Linked DNA regions of Canis lupus familiaris. The protein of the gene in region 1 purifies or fractionates together with the protein of each later gene. This does not show direct contact. Links are inferred from orthologs where the notes say so. Each region holds a gene or a part of one and is shown in the gene's direction. Other genes may lie near its edges.

Evidence for each region.
Region 2: the proteins of MAPK1 (region 1) and STAT3 purify together in Homo sapiens (affinity purification with western blotting; 3 studies listed by BioGRID and IntAct, with this or other methods). This does not show direct contact. The link is inferred for Canis lupus familiaris from reciprocal best matches to the Homo sapiens genes MAPK1 and STAT3.
Region 3: the proteins of MAPK1 (region 1) and DUSP9 purify together in Homo sapiens (affinity purification with mass spectrometry; 5 studies listed by BioGRID and IntAct, with this or other methods). This does not show direct contact. The link is inferred for Canis lupus familiaris from reciprocal best matches to the Homo sapiens genes MAPK1 and DUSP9.
Region 4: the proteins of MAPK1 (region 1) and HMMR purify together in Homo sapiens (affinity purification with mass spectrometry; 4 studies listed by BioGRID and IntAct, with this or other methods). This does not show direct contact. The link is inferred for Canis lupus familiaris from reciprocal best matches to the Homo sapiens genes MAPK1 and HMMR.
Region 5: the proteins of MAPK1 (region 1) and ERF purify together in Homo sapiens (co-immunoprecipitation; 3 studies listed by BioGRID and IntAct, with this or other methods). This does not show direct contact. The link is inferred for Canis lupus familiaris from reciprocal best matches to the Homo sapiens genes MAPK1 and ERF.

Annotation. Positions count from the first base shown.
Region 1 is NC_049247.1:31,299,816-31,304,052, reverse strand, and holds the start of MAPK1 (mitogen-activated protein kinase 1), read left to right. Parts: upstream 1-1,426; 5' UTR 1,427-1,610; coding exon 1,611-1,729; intron 1,730-4,237. UniProt on the Homo sapiens protein: Serine/threonine kinase which acts as an essential component of the MAP kinase signal transduction pathway. MAPK1/ERK2 and MAPK3/ERK1 are the 2 MAPKs which play an important role in the MAPK/ERK cascade.
Region 2 is NC_049230.1:20,479,929-20,483,441, forward strand, and holds part of STAT3 (signal transducer and activator of transcription 3), read left to right. Parts: intron 1-413; coding exon 414-512; intron 513-611; coding exon 612-747; intron 748-1,547; coding exon 1,548-1,600; intron 1,601-1,816; coding exon 1,817-1,911; intron 1,912-2,030; coding exon 2,031-2,170; intron 2,171-2,670; coding exon 2,671-2,883; intron 2,884-3,513. UniProt on the Homo sapiens protein: Signal transducer and transcription activator that mediates cellular responses to interleukins, KITLG/SCF, LEP and other growth factors. Once activated, recruits coactivators, such as NCOA1 or MED1, to the promoter region of the target gene.
Region 3 is NC_049260.1:122,651,272-122,655,416, forward strand, and holds the start of DUSP9 (dual specificity protein phosphatase 9), read left to right. Parts: upstream 1-1,340; 5' UTR 1,341-1,495; intron 1,496-2,317; 5' UTR 2,318-2,454; intron 2,455-2,750; exon of another isoform or gene 2,751-3,018; intron 3,019-4,051; exon of another isoform or gene 4,052-4,145. UniProt on the Homo sapiens protein: Inactivates MAP kinases. Has a specificity for the ERK family.
Region 4 is NC_049225.1:48,676,412-48,680,571, reverse strand, and holds the start of HMMR (hyaluronan mediated motility receptor), read left to right. Parts: upstream 1-1,357; 5' UTR 1,358-1,515; coding exon 1,516-1,561; intron 1,562-4,160. Other genes in the region: NUDCD2 (nudC domain-containing protein 2), read right to left, coding at 676-969. UniProt on the Homo sapiens protein: Receptor for hyaluronic acid (HA). Involved in cell motility. When hyaluronan binds to HMMR, the phosphorylation of a number of proteins, including PTK2/FAK1 occurs.
Region 5 is NC_049222.1:112,849,622-112,852,148, forward strand, and holds part of ERF (ETS domain-containing transcription factor ERF), read left to right. Parts: intron 1-1,561; coding exon 1,562-1,796; intron 1,797-2,185; coding exon 2,186-2,301; intron 2,302-2,403; coding exon 2,404-2,527. UniProt on the Homo sapiens protein: Potent transcriptional repressor that binds to the H1 element of the Ets2 promoter. May regulate other genes involved in cellular proliferation.

The DNA of each region.
Region 1 (4,237 bases):
CATAGGCAGAGGGAGGAGAAGCAGGCTCTGTGCGGGACTCAATCCCCGGTCTCCAGGATCGCACCCTGAGCCAAAGGCAGCGGCTCCACCACTGAACCACCCAGACGTCCTGCTAGCAGGTTTTTAAATATTTGCTTATTCACCTCTGAGATTGACTAAACTTTGCTGACGTCTAGAAGTCCAGAGTTGAGGGCTTTCAAGATCACAGTGTTGGAGAACTGGGATGTAGGATCTTGCATCCTTACTTCCCCTCCAAAGATGGCCTGGGAAATGCTCAGAAGCAGTGGCTGTTAGCACTCCTGTCTCATTTGTCTTAGCTATTCCTGGTATTCACCTGCTTTAGGATTCTGATTTTAAATTTTCAACCTCTGGCGTTTGTGAGTACTTCAGGGCCTCGGTGTGTTTGTCTCATTTTCTCTAGATCTTAACGTTTTGGTTTTGGTGTTTCCATCTTTGCATTTGTTTTTTATGTCCTAAGATTGTCTACCTGTACTGACGTGGGTCTCAGTCTCTGACTCTGTCTTTCTCCACTAACCCCAACCCCTCAGTCGGCTTTGTATTTCTTCCTGGCACTTAAGATTTTATTCATTTATTCATGAGAGACACAGAGAGAGAGGCAGAGACACAGGCAAGAGAGAAGCAGGCTCCATGCAGGGAGCCCGGTGCGGGACTCGATCCCAGGACCCCGGGGTCACGCCCTGGGCCAAGGGCAGACGCTCAACCACCGAGCCATCCCGGGGTCCCACTACTTGAGTATTCTTTACCTCTCTTCCTTCCTGTCTCATCTACCCACCGGGTTATCTCCTCACTCTAGAATGTGGATGCCCAGGAACAATGCAGCTGCTCACCAAACACTGGTGGAAGGAAGGTGTCTGATTAGCGGATCCTGAGCCTCTCGCTGGAGGCTTTGTGTTTCACACTTTCTCAGTATGCAAATATCTTCCGTGGTCTCGGTCCTGCCTTTCATTTTCCTGGCCGCGTCTGGAGGCCTCGGTGTGTGCGTGGGCCACGGGGTCGCGCGGGCCCGCGGAGGTGTGCGGAGCGTCGGCATGCCGCACGCGCGGCCCCAGGTCGTGCCCCGGCCCAGTCAGCGCCCCGCTCCGGGGCTCGCCTCGCCCGGAAAGTTTCTCAGGCCCGCGGCCCCCATCCCCGTCCCGACGCCCTGCCGTCCTTCTGCGTCTCGGAGCCCGCATCCCGCGCCAACACCCCCGCGGGCGCACGTGACCAGGCAGGGCGGTGACTCCGCCGCCGCCGCCGCCGCAGTGCCCCGCCCCGACCTGCCGCTTCCGCCGGCCCGCGCAGCCCCGCCCCCAGGCGGCGGGGAACCAATCCGCGCGCACGCTCCTTGGCCCCGCCCCGGCGCCCTCCTCGGCGCGCGCCCCTCCCGCCGCCCGCCGGCCCGCCCGTCAGTCAGGCAGGCAGGCAGTCGGTCCGAGCGGCCGTAGTCTCTCCCGCGGTCCTGAGCGCTGCCCTCCTTGCTCCTTTCCGATCAGCGTCGGCAGCTGCACCCGCAGCGGCGCAGTCCCCCCGGGAGGCGCGGCGTGGGCCGAGCGGCGGCCGCGGAGCGTCGAGCCTTTCGCGGCGGCGGCGGCGGCGGCCCGGCAGCCAACATGGCGGCGGCGGCGGCGGCGGGCGCGGGCCCGGAGATGGTCCGCGGGCAGGTGTTCGACGTGGGGCCGCGCTACACCAACCTCTCCTACATCGGCGAGGGCGCCTACGGCATGGTGTGGTGAGTGTCGGCGCCTGTCCGCAGGCCGCGCCACGCCCGCCCACCCGCCGCCCGGAGACGCGGCGGACGCAGCCGCGGCCTCGTCTGCGTCCCGGCCTCCCGCGCCGCCGCGCCCCCAGCCCGTGGCTTCCGCGCGGAGTGGGCGCCGGGGGCCTCGGGCGGGGCCCGGGGGCCGCTGGAGGTTTGGGTGTTGCTCACTGCGCTTCGCGGGCCGGCCTCCGCTCGCCGAGGGGAGGGGCTCGGGGGGCGGAGGCCAGTGTCCGGGGACCCGGGGATCCGGGCGCGGCGCGGGTTTTAGAGCCGGGACCCCCGGGAGGGGAACGGAAGTGGTCCCCGGGCCCCCGCCCCCGGCCCCCATGATGCTAGCATCTTGGCCTTCCTCTTGACATCCCGACTGTAGAGCCAGGAATTCCATCGGATGCTCGTCGGTGGTGGTGTTGGCCGCGGTCTTGTGTGCAGAACCTGAAATAATCTTCTCCCCTCCCCGGTATTCCGCGAACGGCTTTCATTAAATATTTTCGGTCGTGCTAACGGTGCCCCGCGCAGGCTGTCCGTAAAAAGCATCAGTGGCACCGCTGTGGGTTGTGAAATATTTTAATCTTGAAGTTTTAAAATGGATTTTAATACCCACACTGTATGCGTTTCAAGAAGGATAAGCCTGCACCGCTCTCTTGGTTGATTTATTAGTCATTTGGAGTTGGGCTTAATTTCACTTTTTTCTTTACCCCTAGTGAACTCTCTTGGCGTAAATGTATTCACACGTTTTAGCAGAATTGTTGTGGACTTGAGCTGTTAATGATGTTTTAGTGGTCAGTATATGTGCAGCCTTAATGGAATTCTTGCAGGACTACGTGCAGCCTCCCTTATCTTGATCATATCCCTCAGAAACGTTCTTGGTTCTTTTTATTAGAATTAGCTGTATTATTTTGTGCTGATGAGGACTTACGGAAGCGTGGGCTCCCTTACACCTCTTTCTTGTGTGTTTTGAGTTGAATGAAGGAAGCAAACATATTTACGGAACACTTGGTGGCAGGTACTGTACTAGGTATATTATCTCATTTTATATGAACAGCCACCTTCGAGGTGGTGATATCCCTCTTTCAGGGGAGAAAATATTTCGAGGTGGAGCAAATTCTTCAAGTCCTACGTCTAGAAGAGACAGACTTGAGATGATAGACTGAGATCCTCTCTCATTTGCTGGAGCTCTTTCAGTTATATTTTGTCTTTAAATAGTGTTATTAGTAGCTTTAGAGTTTGGTATATTTTACTGTTGTAAGCAAATCTGTTTTAAAAATGTATTCAAATTTAAGTGATTGTGATTTTAGAAATGCCATAAAGGGCCTGTTTTAACAAGTATTTTAGACTAATTAAATTTTAAAAAGACTAATTGAATCTTGACTATTTTCATTCTCTTGAGGAGCAAAATGCTTCACATATACAACTGTGAAAATTAACGTGAACTCAGGTTTAGGAGCCAAAAGAAGAATTAAACTAGGTCAGGTCTAAAAGAAATAAGGCCCTAGAAAGTACTGCCCACAGCATCACTTCTCTGTCATAACATCTGATTGCTATGACACCTGCTGGTAAGTAGGCATGTGTCATGAGAGGTTCAGAATTGTCCATCATGTCCCATGGCTCTTTTTGAAAATTTAGCATCTAACATATGGACTGAAAAAACTTTAGGTTTAGGATACTATTTTTTTTTATTTTTAAATTTTTAATTTTTTTTTTTTTTTTTAGGTTTAGGTTACTTTAATTGAAAGTTTTTTTTCCCCCCGATGAGATTATTACTAGTTTGAAGATAAGTAAGATAGGGTAACTATTTCTTTTTTTTTTTAATATTTTTATTTACTTATTTATGACAGTCACACAGAGAGAGAGAGAGAGAGAGGCAGAGACACAGGCAGAGGGAGAAGCAGGCTCCATGCACCGGGAGCCTGACGTGGGATTCGATCCCGGGTCTCCAGGATCGCGCCCTGGGCCAAAGGCAGGCGCCAAACCACTGCGCCACCCAGGGATCCCAGGGTAACTATTTCTGTCATTGCTGTAGACATATTTGACCTTCCAAGTCTTTATTAGGGAAGATGCCAAGTACTTTTACAGTAATCTTCCTTTCCTAAAATCCAAATACAAGTACAACTGGAATTAAAATCCTTGGTCCAGATTATAGTTTTTAATCCTTACCTTAGTAAGAATGTAATTTATGTTGCACATCATTAGTGTTTAATAAGTGTTGATTAAGAATGCTGGGTTTAGGGATCCCTGGGTGGCGCAGCGGTTTGGCACCTGCCTTTGGCCCAGGGCGCGATCCTGGAGACCCGGGATCGAATCCCACATCGGGCTCCCGGTGCATGGAGCCTGCTTCTTCCTCTGCCTGTGTCTCTGCCTCTCTCTCTCTCTCTCTGTGACTATCATAAATAAATAAAAATTAAAAAAAAAAAAAAGAATGCTGGGTTTATGGAGGGCTTCTTGAATGAAATGTTAATATTTATTTATTTTAAAAAATAT
Region 2 (3,513 bases), on another chromosome or scaffold:
GGATACAGGAAACCATGGCATTTGCATTCTGTTTTACCAACTTTCTTGATTTTAAGTTCAAGATATACGCAAAGAAAGCTTTGTCTTTGACTACTGGGAGCTCTCTGTTTAATGGGTAAATGTAGCTTCAGTTCTCAGAGAATGCCTTCCAGGTTTTCTAAATGTGGAATCTGTGGACTGTGAGTCTGACTTTGAGCAAGTCTGATTTTCAAGTTCCTGATTATGTCCTGTGACCCATGTTTGGCATTCTTTCCACTCTTGGTGTTGAGCTGACTCAGCCACACTCCTCCCCAAAAGTTGACAGTAGGTGTGGTTCATGGCACATCCTTTTATTCCCAAACGTGCAGTTATGGCTAAAGAGATGTTCAAAACTGTGAGGGTCCTCCCCAATTCATTCTCCATTTTCTCCACAGACCCACTCCTTGCCAGTTGTGGTGATCTCGAATATCTGTCAGATGCCAAATGCCTGGGCATCAATCCTGTGGTACAACATGCTGACCAGCAACCCCAAGGTAGGTGCCCGTCCTCTGGAAACCATTGTTGTGGTCCCTCGTGTAGGTCATCAGGCGCCGCTGTCTCATCCCAATGAGCAAATATGTCATTTTGAACAGAACGTGAACTTTTTCACCAAGCCCCCGATTGGAACCTGGGATCAAGTGGCTGAGGTGCTGAGCTGGCAGTTCTCCTCCACCACAAAGCGAGGACTGAGCATCGAGCAGTTGACTACGCTGGCAGAGAAACTCTTAGGTTAGCATTTTCCCTCTTTTCCCTGCTGCCCTCCTCAGAGAAGGAATCTGGCCCGTGGGGCTATTCATTCAGGAAAATTTGCTGAGCAAGGCACTGTGCTGGGGTCAGAAAAACATGTGCTCCAGCAGTTTTGGGGGGCGAGTGGAAGGATGCAGAGGCAGCTTGCCTCATGGTCGTCATTTCTGAGGTAAGAGGCAGATTTCTTTTCTCTTGGTGGCTGGACTCCTCACCCCGTTCAGAGCACAGCTTCATCTAACCTTAGGAAGATATTTTTTAAGTGCATGTTAGAAGGTGGAGATGAAAGCTTGACATCCATGTCTGTTTCTTCAATAAACTGGAGAGGCTTGTTTTTTATGTTTTTCTCCTGAAAAAAATTTCATGCACTATTTTACATGCTACCTGGACTATAAGTAGCTTTATCCTGTGCTGTCCCCAAACTTGCCCCTCTAATTCTGTCAGCTTATTACTGTGTGCTGCTGGTCCCCTGTCCACCACACAAGACCAAGAAGAGGTGGTATGTGAGTAGCAGGGAGAGACTTGGTATGTCATCCACCACCTCTGCGAGGCTAAACAACCCCTCAGGTGATCAAATGATGATGGGGTTTTGTGAGGGTGTAGGTGTGTATACGCACGTATGTGCACATACATGCCCTCTACTGTAGGGACCTGCAAACACATGAAAACCGATGGTTGCTCGGCCCATTGTGGGACAGATGTGTGTGAATGTATGTTGTGTTACAATCCTAAGATCTTGATTCAAAGCTGAAAATTACACTGTTTTATTTGTTCTTTTCCTTCAGGACCTGGTGTGAACTACTCAGGGTGTCAGATTACGTGGGCTAAATTTTGCAAAGTAAGCTATTTTATTAAATCCTTATGGATTGGGAGTGGGAGTGAATGCACACCTGTGAGGTTGTCCTGGATGGCACTGGGCTTGAAGACTCATGGTCTGGAGGCCAGTAGGACCTACTTGAGGGGAGATGGGCCTGGGGATTTTGGTGGCATGGTGCCCCTGGGAAGGAAAAGACTGGAAGGGTAGACTTGGCTTTCCCATTATTCTTTTCTTTAGGAAAACATGGCTGGCAAAGGCTTCTCCTTCTGGGTTTGGCTAGACAATATCATTGACCTCGTGAAAAAGTATATCCTGGCTCTTTGGAATGAAGGGTAGGTTGAAACTTTTGTGTCTGGTGGAGTGCACATGTGTAACAAGTCACTTGCTCCCTCAGCAGGCTGGTGGTGGGGACCCTATCAGCTCACATCTGGTTGCTCTTCTTTGGCTCCAGATACATAATGGGTTTTATCAGTAAGGAGCGGGAGCGGGCCATCCTGAGCACAAAGCCCCCAGGCACCTTCCTGCTACGGTTCAGTGAAAGCAGCAAAGAAGGAGGTGTCACCTTCACTTGGGTGGAGAAGGACATCAGCGGTAAGTTTGACTCTCACCCACCCCACCTAGTGGCAGTTGCCTCCCCGCCTTGGTTACTACTAGTTTCAAGCACCTACTGCCCCCTAGTGGGCAGAGATGGCTTCACACTCCCCTGTCATGGGCTTGTAAAATACTTCAGTGACTTCTTTTCTCCAAATTCTTTCAACTGGAGGATTGTTTGCAAGTTTTGTTTTGTTTGCTCCAGGGTCTAATATTTGCCTAGCAGTTTAAATCTCATTCTTCATCTCCTTGCTTACCTACCCTGTTAATATATCTCACACGAGTAGTTTTCAGGTATATTGCCTACGACCCAACTGGGTAGTCTCTCCAGAAGCCAACTGAACATTTCCATAGTGCCAGGTTATTGAACAGGATATTCAGGGCTCCGGAGCTAGGTTGGCATAAGTCTTTCCCTTTCGAGGAAAAATAAATCAGGTTGTTTTCTCTGAGATTACCTGGCCATAGGTTCCCTTATCTTCCCTTACAATATCCCATGACAGGTAAGACCCAGATCCAGTCGGTGGAACCATATACCAAGCAACAGCTGAACAACATGTCGTTTGCTGAAATCATCATGGGCTATAAGATCATGGATGCTACCAACATCCTGGTGTCTCCACTGGTCTATCTCTACCCCGACATTCCTAAGGAAGAGGCATTTGGAAAGTACTGTCGACCAGAGAGCCAGGAACATCCTGAAGCCGACCCAGGTAGTTGTTGATTTTCCGAGGCTGGCATTTAATTCTGGGAAAAGTGGGAAATTGCAGGATCCCAGGCGTACAAACAGGTAAATGCCCAAAGAGTCTGGTGATCTTTATTCCTCTTTGTGGGAAAGAACTTTGTAATGAGTGCTTTTTTGGGGTGGCTGATGGGGTTGGAGAGAGGAGAGGAGTCAGAGTCACTTGTCTCTGCCCCACAGGGAACCTGCCAGACTAAAGGGAGAAATAAGCACATACACACCCAAACATCTAAATTGCCACCAAGAAAGAGTGAGAGTGAGGACAGGACTCTTTAGTAACAGGATGTCCAGCCAGCACCACACTTCTTACACGGTAGCTGCTGGAAGGTTTGCGACCAGACTTGAGTCTAGTGTATTTCCTTTTCCCCATCACTGAACAATGTGAGCAGTGTCGAGTGGGATGGAGAAAAGCTTTCTGGAGGAAATGAGTGTTAGCAGCACTGAAACGTGGTTTACGGTTTATAAGCAGAGGCAGTGGGGGAGTGGTGATTGAAGGGGAACCTATAACCGGTGGGAGGGCGCAGGATGGGATGCAGAGTGATTGAAATAAGTGGTTGTGTAATGTGCAAGAGCACAGGTGTTTCTGTAAGTCTGTAGACATTGT
Region 3 (4,145 bases), on another chromosome or scaffold:
GGACGCTGGAAGGGGCAAAGGACAAGGCAGGTATGCCGGGCGCTGGCAGCAGGCCCCCCCTGGGGCTCACACATCGCGCCTCCAAAGTGCAGCAAAGCTCGTGGGGCCCTGGGAGGTCACGAGGCCCTCCCCTCTCCCCAGCTCTACAGGTGAGGAAACTGAGGCACCAGAGACCAAGCTGCCCCTCTCCTGTGGTTTCCAGGAAGTGACTCAGGGGAATTCGGCCCAGCTGCAGGCAGGAGCCGGCCTCCCTTGGCTGCCCCCTCATCCATGGCGCTGCTGGCATCCCTGCTCTGCGCGCCTCCCTCCTGATGCCATCCCGGCCTGGCGTCGCCTCGCTCTGGGCTCCCTGAGCAGAGACGCCGGAGGCCTGCCAGCAGCTGGCCCACAGCAGCCCGCAGCCTCCTGCTGCTTCTCTATCCCGTGCCCCACGTGGGGGGGCAAGTCAGCTACCACTGACCTGGGAGCCCCCTGCGCCCCCTCCCTGCCTCCTCTCCCCCACCCCACCCCCCGCAGTGAGTGAGGCCCAGAACCCAGTGCGTCCTGCTGTTGACACTGGAGGGGGGCTTCCGAACCCACTCTGGTGCTGCCACTACATCGTGCTTGACCCCAGGAAGCCACTGCTTCAGTGTCCCTAGCTCTCCGGGGCAGGGGGGGCAGTCCCCTCTGACTCCCGGACTGGTGTGGGCACAAAATGAGGTCCTTGGTGGAGATGCTCGGGGCCTCGGCTGCGGAGGACAGCGAAGTGGGCCGCCACAGTGCCCCCTCTCGGGCCCTCCCCCAATGCCCTGGCTCCACCCCTTCCAGGCACTGAGGCTCAAACGCTATTATTATTAGCCAGAATCTGATACAGGAGAATGGGAGAAGCCAGTGCAGACGGACCTGGGACTGGGGGGGGGGGGGGCAGCACTGTCAGATGGACCCTGTGTGGCAGTAGGCGGTGGCCCTGGGGGCCAAGCTGTGCCCGGTCCTCCACGGGCCCCTTGGCTGCCCTCCCGCGTGGACTCTTGGGTGCCACCCTCCCCCAGCCCAGGTCCCGCCGGGTCAGGTGTCCCCCCACTCCTGCGCCCGAGGCCCGGGCCGGGGCCGCGCGAGCATCCCTCAGGGGGCCGGGGCGGGCGGGGCGGCCAGTCTCGCAGGCGGGAGGAGGGCGGCCCGGGGCGGGGAAGGTGCAGGCCGCGCTCCCTCCGCGCTCGCTCCGCGCTCCCTCCCCGCGCGCCGCCGGCGACATCGCCCCTCCTGGGCAGGGGGCGGAGAAGACGGCGACGGGAGGGGAGGAGGCGGCGGCGGAGGCGGGCTTTGGAGTTTCCCTCCGCAGCGGCGGCGGCGGCGGCCCCTCGGCTCCAGGCGAGGCCGCCGCCTGAGGCTCCGGTGGCGCTCGGTGGCAGCGGCGGTGGCGCTTCCCGCCGCCCGGGCTTCGGAAACTTCCCGGCCGCGACGCGCGGAGCCGGCGCAGGAAGCCGAGCGGATCCGGGGTGAGCGGAGGTGAGCGGAGGTGAGCGGAGCACGCGGCTCCCCGGCGCCCACCCACCCCACCCCCACCCCGCCCGGCCGCCCCCTCCGACGTGAGCGCCTCCACCCTGCACCCCAAAGTCTTGCCAGCGCGCACCCCACGGGGCCGACGCACGCGCCCCTGCGAGCCCCACTCGATCCTGCCCCCTCACACCCCCCGCATCCCGCCCGTGCACCTCCCTGTCCTCGGCCACGCACATCCCCTGCCACTTGCACGCGCGCGCACAAACCGCGCACCGGGGACCTAGTCCTGCAGCGAACGCAGCAGCAGCCCCTGACCCACCGCCCGGCACTGCCCCCAACTCAGGCGAGCACCCATCCCAGACCCTGCCATGCCTCAGTACACACCCAGGCGCGTGCGCGCGCGCACACACACGCGATACATCCCTGCCATAGCTGCACTAACATAGCTCCCCTCGCCGTGCCACCACCATCTCCAACAACCCATATGCTCATTACAGACACCCCACCCACGTTCCCAGCCCAGAGACACTGCGATCCACCTACCCCCGAGTGAAGACCCAAAACTAACTCATGCCCCAGCAGCCGACACTCCCCGCCGCCGCAGCCAGGCCCATTCCCCAGGCGCACACCTCCTGCCTCCCCAGCGTGCACACTCGTACGCCCCAACACGTATGCACACCTGCTGGATTAACCCTCTCTGGCACCCTGCCCCAACCCCGTGGCAAATAGCCCCCAGCACCCCCCCCCCACCCAGCACATGCCCGAGTCCCTCCCACCGCCACCCCCTGACACCTGGCACTCGGGCTCTAGAGGCTGCAGCATTTGGTGGCATCCCTGCCAGGTGCCTCTGGCTCGCCTTTGGCGCCAGCAGCTCGCGTCCTGAGGCCCCCTGGGTGCCAAGCTAAAGCGATCCTGAGTCTCCCCAGCGACTGGCTTGGCCTCTTCCCTAAGAGATAGAGAAGGCACTTGGGGTGCAAGGTACCGTACTTAGCTGTGGGGTGCGGGTGGGGGGAGGCGAGGCAGGGCGAGGTGGCCCAGCTGCGGCCAAACACACGCCGCGGGTGGCCGGGCACGCACGTAGTAGGTGGGTTGGGCGAGGACAGGAGTCTGCTGCAGTGTGTGCGCCTGCATGCGCGGTGAGCGGCGGGCTGTGTGTGCGTGTGCGTGGGGGTCTGTGGGGTGGGAAAATGCGCGTGAGCCTCCGGGAGAAGCAGCACCCGCCGGGGCTCCCTCATGCAACAATTGGTTTCATTCATTCATGACTTCTTTGTTAGCGAGCATTTCTTCTGGGAGCGCCGGCCAGGCCCTGCGCGGGGGGCTGGGGCAGCCTGGGGCCGCTCCGCCTTGGAGGAACTCCCAGTCCTGCGAGGAGCCCGACCGGGAAAGGCAGAAAGCATCCGCGGCGGAAAGTGGATCTGTGGACGAGGCGCCGGATCTGCCAGGGACGCTGGCGCTGGGACTTGTGCTCCCGGCCATGTGACTGGGCCGCCACAGCCGAAACCCTGCCCGCCGCTCGGCCCGGCGGGAACCGGGCGCTTCGGGGTGAGGGGTGGCGGGGGAGGGGGCGCCGCTCCCCGGGGCTCCGGGGCACCGGAGGGCGCACGCGGCGCGCGGGGTCTGCGGCCCCCCAGGGGCGCCGGCCGGGCTGGGTGGAGGCTGGGGGGGCGCCCGGGGGGGGGTGCTGGAGGGGCCGGCTCGGGGCCCACCCTGCGGCGAGCGCGCGGCCTGCGGGCCTGGGGAGCCGGCGCGGGGCGCGGCGGGGCGGGCCCACAGGGGTGCGGGTGCGGGCGGCCGGCGGGGGTCAGGGGGTGGGGGGCTTGGCTGCGCGCAGCCCTGCACTGCGGAGGTGGCAACAGGTTCCAGTTTGTCCTGCTGCTGGCGCAGCGGGCGCTGCTGGCGCCGGGCACCGACTACTCACTTGCGAGATTGGATACTGCGCCCCCCCCCCCCCGGGGCCGCTCCCTCCCGGTTGGTGGGCTTGCCAGCGGCGGGAGCAGGGTGCAGGGGAGCCCCTCCTCGGGCGTTGGGACCCGCAGGCTCGGTACAGCCCACTCGGGGGGACTTTCTTGGAGCCAAGCTTGCTCTCCCTTCAGGGGTGCGAAAGTTGCCCCCAACCCCACCCCACCTCGCCTCACCTCCACCATCTTCCCAGCCAGGCTCCCCCCCCCCCAGCCTTACAGGGAGCCCTCTCCAGAAAGCATGCCTGGGCACCTCAGGAACCCCCAAGCTGCAGCTCTTAGGCTTTGCAGCTTCAGGGAACTGAGGCCCAGAGCGAGAGGAAGGAGAGGACAGGAAGGCTGCCTGGAGGAGGGCACCTGGGGGAGGAGGAGGGGCCGCTGCAAAAGGAGCGGAATCTGACTAGGCTGTGGAGGAGGGAGGTCTGGGCTGGGGGCAGGGGGACACAGCGGGACTCCTCCCAGAGGCCAGGCCGTGGGCCGCAGCCCCACAGGAGCCCTGGGCTGGCAGCGCAAGAGGAGGGGGACCCTGGAGGCCCCTTGGAGGGCCTGGCTCCCCGTAACCTGCCCTCTCCCTAGTGTTACTTCTCCAGTTTTCTCTTCTTATTTCCGTGGCTCAGGAGAGGAGTCTTCATCCGCGGCCCTGAACCTGGTTATCGTAAACGTTGGCCTGCCCGCGGTTTTGCGTCCTCCGCGGCTTAGTTTCCCATCTGG
Region 4 (4,160 bases), on another chromosome or scaffold:
CATCGGATCCGGAAAAGAAATCTAACTTGCACGTCACTGAATTTACCTATAAAGTTTACCAAGGATCCGACGGGCATGATGGGCACAAAACGCCTCTCGACTACCTGCTTAACCGCTCCACAAACAGGCAGAATGTTTCTAGTTTTGTGGAAAAAAAAAAAAATAAATCACCTGACGCCACCTCTGAATCCTCCTCCCGATATCCTTACCCTGTACTGTGTCCTCTACTGTCCCCTAACTGCTTAAGCATTTACTAACTTCGCTTTAGTATGCCTCCCTGCAAGAGCATCACCTGAGCGCAGGGAACTTCGGTCTTGGTCATCCCTGACCTCTCAGCACTTAAAATCAGCGCCTCGAAGAAAATATATGTACAACGAGTATTGGTCCCTTTAAACATCTAGGTGAAGACCCGCAGGGGAACAAAAGCAGCAACTTCTTCGGTTTAGAGAGAAAGCCAGGACACCGGGCTCCTCACATCTCTCCGTCAACTCGGGACTAGCCTTGGGTGGGGACACGGACCAGACCCAAACCAGGCCAGTGCTATCTATCGCTCTTTCGGCTCAAAGAGCCATTCACTCGGCCTTCCAGCAGTCCTTCCGTGGAAACCATGAGCCTGCGGACTCGGGGGCTTAGAGGCCGGGAGGGAAGTGAGCGCAAGCCCCGACCTGCCGCTACCTTGAGGATCTCGCGACCACCCACGGCCAGCGCCACATGCCGGCTCTGCAGGCCGCACTGGATGTCCTGGGCGCGAGTGCCAGGCGGCACCTGAACTTCAATAAACACCTCCTCCAAGGTCTGGTACCACTGGCCCCACGGCGTCCCGCACGGAACCACCCCACTGCGCTCCTCAAACGGGGCCGACATACTCCGGGAGCCTTCCAGCTGCAGCCGCACGGAGCGAGACGAGCGCACGCGCGAGCTCCCCGCGCTCAGGCCACGCCCCGACTCTCCGCTCAGGTCACTGCACATGCGCAGGGACGTCAGCCGAGGTCTCCGCGAGCTCCTTTCTCCTTTCCAGTGGCCGTTTACGACGCTGGCAGTGCCCAGGTTGAAAGAACCGAAATCCGGGGAAGCTGACACCCAAGGGACGGTGGGAGAAAGTTGGAACTAGCGAAACTAGAACTCACTGCCCTGCCGCCTTTATGACGCCAGAAGCGGGCCTGCCAACTTCTCAGACGTGAAATGCGCTTGCGCAAAGGAGGCGAGCGTGTAAGTTACAATTGAGTAACGCCAGGAACGATTGGACACGGGTTGGGCAATAATAGTCTCCTATTGGCTGGTGACCTAAACTCACAGGAGCCCTGATTGGATGCGACCAGGCCAGGTGCGCATGCTCTTTAGTCGTTCGCGTCCTGGATTGGTGCGCCCAAAACTTTGGTTTTCAAATCTGCTGACGTTAGAGGTGGGCCGTGGGTAAGCCGGGAGGTTTGAATTTGGAGCGATTAGGCCGAAATAAGCAGCCAGGAGTTGCGGAGGAGAGCTAGTGACCTTCGGTTTGTGGAGCTGGTCATCAACATGTCTTTTCCTAAGGCGCCCCTGAAACGATTCAATGACCCTTCCGGTGCGTACGGGGAAAGGAGTTGGGGGTCGGGATATGTTGTCACGCACCTTGCCGCTCTCGAGTCCCTTCCTCGGAGGCTAATCGGAGATTTTAGGGCTGCGATGGGTCTCATTCAATTGATTATTTTCCTAGAATCTATACTAAGCATTTACTTCCCTAGCACCATTCAGATAAGGGTAGAGCAGTGAATGAAGCGAAGTCTCTGCCCCATCGAGTTCACTACATTCAGCTGGAGAACACAGCCAATGAACGAGTGCTGTGGGGAAACTAAGGCAGAGAGAAGGAAGTGGGGATAAGGAAACTATTGGTAGCTATTTGATGGTCAAGTCCGGAAGGCCCCACTGATTAAAAAAAAAAAAAAATTGACCAAGTTTTTCGTATGAACTTGTGAATTTCTTTTGGATATTCCATTCAGGAATAAAAGAAGGATAATTGGTAAAGGCAATTTATGGGTAAAATTATGGTAGTAGCATACTTACTGAAAACATAATGAAGTAATGACACGTAGAACCCCAATCACCGTATTAAGTATTTACATTGATTATTCTTTTTTAATTACCCAACATCCCTGAGAGGTAATCCTATTATTATTTTATTGATAAAAAGATTGAGACATAGATTTGCTCAGTGTTACACAACCAAGTTAGCAGAACTGGGACATAAAATCAGGCCTTCGTGAACCCATCCTGTGAACTTAGTCGCTGTGATGCATAAGCACACTAACCAGGAAGACGCAGATATGGTTAGTGAGGCACACTCATCATTCAGTGGATGCAAACTGTATGCAGGGACTGTGCTAAGGTCTTTTCTGTTCTACCTGGTTAACTCTTTCCAAGTGAGAAAGGATTGATATTGTCCTCGTTTTACATATGAGGAAACAGAGGGGTTTTGTAACTTCTGAGCAGCCAGTAATTGGTAGGGCTGAACATCAAAGCCCATGATTTATTCATTTTAATATACTCTTTATAAAAGGCACTTGTTGGCATCTTTAACTTGTCAGCCAACATGCAAATAGAAATAAGAATCACTCTGCTCACAAAGGAAGGCCAAGTGAGCAAATGGGTCAGCACAAGCTTCTTCCTTTTTTTTTTTTTTTTTTTTTTTTACAAGCTTATTTTCTTAATTGAAAGATCGGGAATATACTGTTTCCTGGATATTCAAAGAATCTTCTCTAAATTCTCTCAGCAGTATGTCTTTTAAGGAGAATTCTGTTTTCTTTATAGTAGATTAAACTGACTTTACCAACTCACAATTTCAGAAGTAATAATTATTACTTTATTTGATGCTCGAGTGACACTGTAGTGATTTCTCCTATTACTCCAGTAATCCCAACAGCTATGAGGTGGATACTTTTTTTAATTTCTGTTTCATAAGGAAAATTAGCCTCAAATAAAAATAAATTGCCAGGGGTCTTAAAGCTAGATTAGAAAAGGAGAGAGTATAATGTTCTTACCATCTTCTGACTAAAAAGTACTTGGCACATAGTAATGTCTATTGGTTAGCATTTAAAGCTGGATTTGAACCCTGATTGAGGAATTATAAAACTCTATCCCCATTCCCACATTCCCAGTGACTTTCTATGTTTTCTTCACCGCACTGTCAAACTCAACCCTGAGCTAAATACTGGGGTTATGAACATGATCTAGAGAGACCTAACCACAAGCAGTTTTGTCTAACATGGAATATGGATAATTACAAAACTGACAGGTTCTCTGATAAGAACACTACTCACAAGCTACTACAAAGAGAGGTTTTCAACCTAATTTGAGGACTCAGAGAAAACTGGAAAAGGCTGAGTAAGAATTAGTCAGGCAAAATGGAAGATGGACTGTCCATTCTGGGTAGAAGAAATAGGAAATAAAGAAATCTGATAGGTAGCTCAGTCAACTAAGCATCTGCCTTCAGCTCAGGTCATGACCTCGGTGTCCCGGGATCAAACCCCGCATTAGGCTACCTGCTAAGTAAGCAGTCTGCTTCTCCCTCTGCACCTCCATTCTGCTTGTGCTCTCGCTCAGTCTATCTCTCAAATAAATAAAATCCTTAAAAAACTATTTTAAAAAGATCCAAAAGTTTGAAGCGTTTAATGAAATGCATAGACTGTTTTGTTTGTTTAAAATTATTAACTACCTGTTAGCTACCAGTCATTGTTGATCAAGAAAGAAGTTGCAGAAAACTTGCGATAACTCCCAGGACATCTCATTCCATTCTTCTGATGTTCCGTCTCCCCAGATTTCTAACAAGTCATATGTATGTGTGATATAGTACATTTAAGTGTTCGTAAGGAAAAGATCTGGAGCATGAAAATAACATGTACTAACTACACTCTCACAAAGAGTTAATAGATTAATACAGGCTGGATTTCTACCTAGTTCTTGAATCTAAATCCTAAATCTAACAATCAAGTTTGATTGTTTAGGGAAGTTTTTGTTAAGTATGGTTTTAATTGTTCTCAACTCATGATGCTGCTCAGTCACTGTCCACCATCCCATCTTTTGCTTGCCCATATTTCCTTTTCAGAGTGTACACATAGTCATGAACCAGAACATAAGAATTCAACATCATTTTATTTTCTGGCCACTCTGACAAGTCTAAACTGGTG
Region 5 (2,527 bases), on another chromosome or scaffold:
TGGATTCCCGAGAGAGGGATGGGGCTATGGATGCTGGGATCTATGGAAGGCATTGTCAGGGGCTGTCACTTCTGAATGGAGCAGGGGCTGCTGGTGTAGGACTCTGGGACTGTAACCAGCTGGAGGTCGTATCCTTGGAGCCCCGAGGCGCTGGTTTGAGGCTAGGATTTCTGAATGGGGCTGTGACTAGTGGGGAATGCTGGCCATTCCATCCTACCCAAGGCTGGAGCTCAGGAAGCTGGTTCACTGTAGGGGATAGAGTCAGCTTTGGATTTAGAAGGGGTAGTGCCTGTGGGAGTAGGAACTGCTGAATCCCTGTGTCCCCAAGGGGAAGTATCCTCTGTTGGGAGTCCAGGCTGCGGTGGAGTCTTTGAGGGAGGCTCAGCATTGCCCCAGGCCTGGTTGGTACCTGCTTCAGTTGGGGCTTGAGGCAGGCCAGAGGCTCACTCCAGCAGCCTGACTGGGACTTGGGACCCCGCCCATCCTTTGCTGTCCACCTTGGCCTTCTCCCTCTGGTGGCATCAGGGCCCCTATCCTGCCTCCCCCTCCTTCTCTTCCTCCCCTTCCCTCCTCCCACCCCTCCATTACCGGCTGCCTAGTGCTGAATTATTGATGGCCCCTGATTACCCGGGGGTTTGGGAAATGACAACCGCAGCCCCCCCACCGTCCCCCCCCCCCAGGCTGCCCACCCCCTCCAGGGACCAGCCAGCCCACCACCAACCTCTACCCAAGGTTAATGCTGGGGGCGGGTAGGCAGGTGGGCAGGGAAGAAGCTTGAGGATGAGAAGGCGGAAGGGGGAACAGGCTGCAGCATTGCCTGCTCAGTCTCCAGGCCTGGGCTGGGGCGTTCCAGCCAGGTTGTGTCCATGCGCCTGGGTCCGGGGAGGGCAGTCAGCACAGAGGGTCTAGGGCTTGTTGGGGGGGGGCTCTCTCAGACAGTCTGGGTTTCACTCTCCAGGGAAGACAGAAGCCTCTGTGTGTGCAAGCGCTGACCTCATCGTCAACCAACCACCCCACCCCTCCTGGTCCTTTTAAGAAAAAAAAAAAAAATCATCGGGTCCTGGGGTGGGAGTCGGGCTCTGGTAGGTTTTGGGAGGGGAGACAGTGTTATGTTCCCAGAAGGGGACTGGAGCTGTGGGGTGAGTTGGGGGAGGGGTATAACTGGCCCTGAATGGGAATTGGGGGGGTCGGGGGGGATCGCCCCAACCCGGCTGGCCACGTGTGCCCCTTCCTGCCCCTCCCCCACTGGCAGCCCTGCCCGCCGGCCTGGCTTGGTGCCTGGCCCCCTGGCACTGGCCCCGGGACCCGCCGCCGACGGTTTCCTGTTTCTCCCGTGTCGCTGGAGCAGGCTCCAGCTTCCCTCCCCCCCCAGCTCCCGTCTAGCCCCCTCACACACAGACACACACTGTCTCTCCCTAACTCAGGTCCTGACTTGGCAGAGGGGAGACGGATTTCCCCACGTGGAGGGCGGGGTAGGAGGGTGGACCCTGGGAGGGGACCTGAAGCCTTGGACTTGGCATCCTGACCCGGGGCCACTCCCCTGCCTCCTGTCTGTCCCCAGGGTTTGCCTTCCCGGATTGGGCCTACAAGCCGGAGTCGTCCCCTGGCTCGAGGCAGATCCAGCTGTGGCACTTTATCCTGGAGCTGCTGCGGAAAGAGGAGTACCAGGGTGTCATCGCCTGGCAGGGGGACTACGGGGAATTCGTCATCAAGGACCCTGACGAAGTGGCTCGGCTCTGGGGTGTCCGCAAGTGCAAGCCCCAGATGAATTATGACAAGCTGAGCCGGGCCCTGCGGTGAGGAGGGGCAGAAGCCCCTGGGCAGAGTGGATGGCCCCCACTGGCTGGGGAGCCCCCACTGGCTGGGGAGCGTATAACCCACGGGAATAGGCTTCGGGTTTGATCCTTTGCCAGCTCGGAGCGGTGAGACCACGGGCAAGTCCTGATCCTCCTTGGAGTGCTTCTGTCACATAGAAGTGTCCTGAGGAGAGACTACAGTCTGGGTGTGGCCTCTAGTCTTGGCCCCAGACCTGAGGGGAGAGCTGTTTCTCCTGGGTCCTTGGCTTCTTGCGTGTGACCCAGGTTTCTTGGTCCTCCTTGGTGAGCGACACCCAACTTGCGTCGAGTAAGGGTCTAGACTGGGGTCCCTGCATGACTGACGGTCCAATGTGTTTCTACGCCCACAGCTATTATTACAACAAACGCATTCTGCACAAGACCAAGGGGAAACGGTTCACCTACAAGTTCAACTTCAACAAACTGGTGCTGGTTAATTACCCTTTCATCGATGTGGGGTTGGCTGGTGAGTAGTTGGGCTGGGGGTTTGGCCTCAGAGGGAGGAGAGGATGGGCCTGTGTCCAGGCTGGACCGCGGACCTTGACGCCACGTCTCCCCTCTCCTGCAGGGGGCGCAGTGCCCCAGAGTGCCCCTCCAGTGCCATCGGGTGGCAGCCACTTCCGCTTCCCTCCCTCAACGCCCTCTGAGGTGCTGTCCCCCACCGAGGACCCCCGCTCCCCACCGGCCTGCTC